2 linked regions of the Callithrix jacchus genome follow. The protein of the gene in region 2 binds, or shares a complex with, the protein of the main gene of each other region. Links are inferred from orthologs where the notes say so. Each region holds a gene or a part of one and is shown on either strand. Other genes may lie near its edges.

Region 1 (3,657 bases), on a different chromosome or scaffold from region 2:
AAGAAGATTAAAAATTTTAAATGTAGCTAGCAGCTTTACTTCTAATGTGAAGTCATACATATTTAATAGTTTTATATGTACATAAGTACCAATAAATACTAAGGATTTTGGCACAGTTTTATAAAACATTATGTAAAACAGCAGAGCAGCAGTTTTTTGCTTCCTCAAAGTATTGTTAAAGCAAATGAAGCAACTGACACCCTTCCAATGACTGACGCACTCATTTCACTCCTGACTGCTCAGCTTATTTCAACCCGCTATTGTTTTCATCTTGTTCTTTACTTGTGATATTCTCCAGCTTTAGGCACTATTAAAATGTTATAGCTACCTCATCTGTCCTAAGTTAGGGGGTGGGGTACAAGAACAAAATAGTGACATGTATTGTATCTACATAAAACCTTATGTAGAAACCTCTGAATTTATCAAAACACTAAATTTTCCATCAGTCTTATGTAGCAGATAAGAGTTAGAGTTCATTATTAAACACTAACTTATATAGGCTCTGTGAGGTAACTTGACAACTGCATTTTATTCCTACGCATCTTGTCCAGTATTGGGGAATTTGATCCAATATATGTTTGGGCTTTTTTTTTTTGAGACGGAGTTTCGCTCTGTCACTCAGGCTTGAGTGCCGTGGCACAATCTTGGCTAACTGCAACCTCAGTCTCCCAGGTTCTAGAGATTCTCTTGCCTTGGCCCCACAAGTAGCTGGGATTACAAGTGCACACCATTACTGCTGGCTAATTTTTGTATGTTTAGTAGAAATGGAGTTTGCCATGTTGGTCAGGCTGGTCGTGAACTTCTGACCTTAGGTGATCCACCTGCCTTGACCTCCCAAAGAGCTGAGATTACTGGTGTGAGCCACTGTGCCTAGCCCGATACATATTTGGATTTCGTAAATGTCAAAATCCGAAATAAGACATAAAAGACACCCAAGGGAGGCAAGGGAACTTTTCATTAACGGCGACGAGGACCCAACTCACTGGTTTTGAAACTCATGTTTGTGTCATACCTACAGTTCAAATAAGGTATGCTTCTTTTACAACACTCTATAGAATTTATATAAAAGTCACATTTTTTTCTCATTCAAAAAATATAATTCTCATTAAAATAAAATGAAAATTTACAAATGTGGTTATAACATAAGCAACATACCTGCAGGTATGATCGTCACTCACACTTGCAATTCCTTGGCCACTTTCGGGATGAAACACCAAACCATTAATGAAATCTGAATGGCCCTCTAAAACCTGACAGAAAGAGAAAACTTAGTAAGAAAACAGGAAAATCTATAATATTCCTACACAATATTTTTGCTTCACTGCCTTAAAAGCTTTCACTGCATGTTTTTCTATAAATATTTCTTAAGCAATCTGCTATTTTTAAAGCATGATTTATACACCCACTTTTTGGAAGGTCTATCTTGGAAAGAAATTGATCATTCAACACACTATTAGCTTAGTCTTTCTTTTTTAGTATGCATTTCTTACAAAAACACACATACATTTTTATTGTACCTGTCCTCATATCACCTCCTTTCTCACTTTTTATATAAAGCTTAAATAAAAATTAGAGCTAGAAAACTTTTTAGGAGTACTGAGGTAGAGTGCCTCTAGGTTTTTTACCTTATAACTGTTGCTCTGTATACTCACTACTACTTAACAAACACACACAGGATGGACTTCACGATCTAATGCCTTCATTTACATGTTCAATGTGACTGCCAGCAGTGAAGACAGCTAGTTGTTGTAAGACTATAGTCATCATCAACACAAAAATCTTTGCCTTGACAGAGAAGCAACAAATGAGAAGTTGCATGGTAGAGGACTGTGTGAGCAGGTAAGGTTCAATCTGTCTAAATCTTCATGGTTGAAATCCTAAATAGGCCTGTCAGATAATTACTTTAATGATTATCATTTTTTCTACCCTTCCTTCTTTCCAAAAATTCAAATTTGATCTCATTCTGAGGTTATTAGAGCAGTTCTGTATAGTACTGATAACTATGTAGAAATGTAACATGAAAAAAAGAAAAAAGATTTGGGTCAAACATTGCTGAAAACTTTCACCAACCCAGGTCCTCCAAATCACTCTCCAAAGCTTCTGTCATAGCCTACAAGGCAAACTAAATTAACCGTGAATGTTTAATGTATATTATAACTACCATTTTAACTTTGGATAGGTCAAAATTTTATGTGCATTTATATACTTGGTTATTTTTGTTATAGCCTTAAATCAGCCAATCTGTACAATAGGTTAAGCCAATTGTAAATAGCTTAGAGCATAATTTTTTACTATTTTCTAAATGATTGGAAAGGTTTCATTTATCTTTGTTTTATAACAATATTCATATTTTGGTTTATTAGAAAGCCAAGGCAATACCATTCTTATAAGAAAACATGATGGAATTTCAGCCCAACCTGAGGGTAATTATTATGGTAATAGAAAACACACATATGGGTTTTGCTGTGTAACAAGCATTATTCTAAGTGTTTTATATGAATTTGCTCAGTCAACGCTGATAATTCTATAAGGCAGCTGCTATGATTACCCACATTTTACAGCTGAGGATATTAGCACAAAGAGATTCGGTTACTTAACCAAGGTCACACCATTACTAAGTAATAACACAGAGGTTTAAATGCAAGGAATCTGGATTCTGTGTCTGTGCTCTTAACTACTTTGGAATCTGGCCTGTGCTATGCTGTGCTGATCATTTGTTCCCTTGAAGTTCAACTCTTACTCTATGGATGTTCATGTTGATTATATTCCTAATATTTCCAACTTTGAATTTCTAATTCTTTCTTATTTGTTGTTCCTACCTAACATTTCAAGTTAATAAGTGATACGAGATTTATAATCTGCAGTCATTATTAAGAATATAGTTCTTAATATAGTAACCTGGTTACTATTACCTATAATAGAGTAAATGAGACCCTAAATTATATACTTTAATGATGACCATAAAAAGCCATTTTAAATTGGGATAAATTCAATTAAAACAGCAAAAAATAAACATGTGTTAAAATAAACTCTAAAGATTTGTATAGCTGTCAACATACCTTATATTCATTTTTATCTTGAAGATCTGAAGTAAACAATCTAATTTTCAAATCAGCAGCTGAAGTACAAAATCTGGAAGCAATAAAAAACAAAAATATTCCAATTTTCAGCCTTTGAAGGGAAAGGTCTCTCCCTCCCCTGATCTTTCCCTCCAGGTCACTGAAGTTGTTATCAGTAACTCATAATCTTGCTTTTTATGGAGGAAGAAAGAAGAATGTTGTGGCTCCACTGTAAAAAGTATTACATAGACATCACAGAAAGTAGGAGTAGGAGAGAACATATAAAAGTTTAGTTTATTCTGGATTTGCTTCTTCAATAATAAGTATAGAATTTTACACTAAATCAGCACTTGAATTTAATTTTAAATGTTTTCTTAAAAGCATAAAAGGATAGATTTTAAAAAGTATCTTCATTTTAGCCAGTCAACAAGAGATGTTAAAAATATTGTTACACATCTACCTTAGTCTTTGCCCTCTTCTGTTATCCATAGTTTATCCAGTCTCCTTAGTTTTTCTATTTCTCCAAATAAATCAGATTATATAAGATACTATTTTTATACCTATAAGAGCTGACATACTTGCTAAAGGTTGGAGTATT
Region 2 (2,772 bases):
CAAGCTAATGTTCACCAATCTGTCATTAGTTCCTGGCTCAGCACGGATCCTGCAAAAGACCGAATTGAAATCACAAGCTTACTTCCCAGTAGGACTCTGTCTGTGAACAGTTTGGATGTTTTAGGTCCTTGTCTTGTTTGTGGAACCGATGCAGAAGCAATTTATGTTACTAGACATCTTTTTTCGTAGAAGTACTGTAATTTTAAGATTTCAGGTAGAACACACAATTAGCCTTTTGAAATCCAACATCTGTGCAAACTTTTATTATCAGAAAATATGAGATTTGCAGGGGAAACATCAATAAACTGCCATTAATGTCAATGCCCAGTTTTGGCTTTTGTTAGCCTGACACTCCCACAACAGTTGTAGAATCCGTTGGATGACAGAGGGCAAAAGATTGTGAACATGTGCAAGAAAATCAGTGGGATCCTGGTGCTGATGAATAGGTTGCCTTCAGAGTATTATTGACAGCTCATGGGACTAGTTCTTTGTTTTAGATGTGGCAATTAACACAACATCAGTGGTGGTTATGGGAACCACCAATGGGTTCCTACAATGTTTATCAGTAGTATGTGGAGTATACGCCTCCTAGTGGCAATTGTCAATGTTAACAATTATTCTTTTTATTGCAAGTATTTCCTATGATCCTTCCACACTTTATTTCCTTAATAATTATAGTAAATGTTTTCAGAAAGAATTGAGTAGAGCAAAAATAACAAAGATGTATAGCCATGTTCGAATTTTTTTTTGAGACAGATTTTTTTTTGAGACAGTCTTACTCTGTTGCCAGGCTGGAATGCAGTGGTGCGATCTTGGCTCACTGCAGCCTCCACCTCCCGGGTTCAAGCAATTCTCCTGCCTCAGCCTGCTGAGTAGCTGGAACTACAGGGGTGCGCCACCACACCTAGCTAATTTTTGTGTTTTTTAGTAGACATGGGGTTTCACCATGTCAGCCAGGATGGTCTCCATGTCTCGACCTCATGATCTGCTTGCCTCAACCTCCCAAAGTGCTGGGATTACAGGTGTGAGCCACTGTACCTATCCTGAAATTTTTTAAAGATGAAAATGTTTTGACAAGTTCCTTTTTCAGAATAGGTTTTTGAGCAGAAGTCTTTCAACTCCTTAGACCCAACTTTATTTCTGTTGAAAAGGGAACAAACACAACATTTTTCCTAAGGAATTTAGCTTTTGTTTAGCTTCACGGCATAGTTGAAAATTGCCAAACTGGACATCGTGTGATAAAGTAGAATTTCATATTGATAAGCAAATTGACTTCCAAACTAAAATTCAATGCTTAACAAGTGTGATTAATCAAATGATAATATAATCAGAGTGAAGAATTGTGCCATTTTTTTCTTTTTTTTTTTAACCTTTGTCCCCACCCCCCACCCCCCACCAGAATTTTGCCATTTTAATCCTTTTGTTTTAGCCACCTATAGTCTTATCAGCCATCTTTATTCTTGTCTGCAGAGATAATAATGACCTAATGTAGTGTTTTAAGATACTTTAATGATACTATCTTTCCAAAATTTGTTAGATATTAAATGTGTTATTGACCTGAGACCTTAATGATAAATCAGTACTATTAGACAATTGAAGTGTTTATTTACTTTATAATTCCAATAATCATAATTATGGAATTATGATAAGGTTTTGCTTTTCTGTCCTAATAAATATTTTCTTTTTCTTTTTTTGAGACAGAGTTTCGCTCTTATTGCTGGAGTGATGATCTCAGCTCACTGCGACCTCTGTCTCCCAGGTTCAAACAATTCTCCTGCCTCAGCCTCTCCAGTAGCTGGGATTACAGGTGTGCGCCACCAGACCTGGCTAATTTTTAATTAGTAGTAGAGAAGGGGTTTCACCATGTTGGCCAGGGCTGGTCTGGAACTCCTGACCATAGGTTATCAGCCCACCTCAGCCTCCGAAAGTGCTGGGATTATAGGTGTGAGCCACCACACCCTGCCTATTTTCAATTTTTTTAATGCCACTTTATCTCAGGGGGTTTTGGGTTTCTGATCTGTCTATAGTATTATTGCTGGGACTAATTTTTTAAAGACTTTTTGTTACTAAATAACTTACAGAAAAGAAAGTTTTAAGTACTTAGAATTTCAAACAGACAATACTCTTCATATCCGTTTCTATCCATCAATGTATATAATTTCTTAATAAAATGAAATATACATATATATATTATCTTTGTGGATGCATGTTCCCTAGCAGTAAACACATTTTTTCTATTATCATTTTGAACTGCTAGTTAATATTCTAAGCTGTAGGAGTGTGTACCATAATTTATTTCAATTGGTTGCCTATTATTGATTATTTCATGTTTCCAGCCTTTCACCGTTATGATTCCCACTATAATACCGGTTTGGTTTAATTTGCATTTCTTTTAAAACTTGCTTTTATTCTTAGCTTATATCCTCTTCATTTTTTGAGGTAGTTTGGCATTTTCTTATTTGTAACATCTTTTTATATGTGGTTTTTTTTTGTTTGTTTTTTTGCCTTTGGTTGTATGATACAGGTATTTTTTTAATTTAGTTTTTAGCTTTACTTATGGGGCTTTTTTTTAATCTTTATTCTGTTAATTTTTTTTTTTTTTTTTCCTTGAGATAGAGTCTCACTCCCATCGCCCAGGCTGGAGTGCAGTGGCATGATCATGGTTCGCTGCAGCCTGACCTTCTGGGCTCAGATGATCCTCCCATCTTAACATCCTGAATAGCTGGGACTAGAGGTGTGTACCACCATGCCTAATTTCTGTACTTTTAGTAG

What was found.
Region 1: NUP43 (region 2) and NUP37 share a complex: the UniProt entries of both Homo sapiens proteins name them as parts of the nup107-160 subcomplex of the nuclear pore complex. The link is inferred for Callithrix jacchus from reciprocal best matches to the Homo sapiens genes NUP43 and NUP37.

What each region holds. Positions count from the first base shown.
Region 1 is NC_133510.1:105,138,167-105,141,823, forward strand, and holds part of NUP37 (nucleoporin Nup37), read right to left. Parts: intron 3,133-3,657; coding exon 3,060-3,132; intron 1,251-3,059; coding exon 1,156-1,250; intron 1-1,155. UniProt on the Homo sapiens protein: Component of the Nup107-160 subcomplex of the nuclear pore complex (NPC). The Nup107-160 subcomplex is required for the assembly of a functional NPC.
Region 2 is NC_133505.1:156,504,921-156,507,692, reverse strand, and holds the end of NUP43 (nucleoporin Nup43), read left to right. Parts: coding exon 1-189; 3' UTR 190-2,188; downstream 2,189-2,772. UniProt on the Homo sapiens protein: Component of the Nup107-160 subcomplex of the nuclear pore complex (NPC). The Nup107-160 subcomplex is required for the assembly of a functional NPC.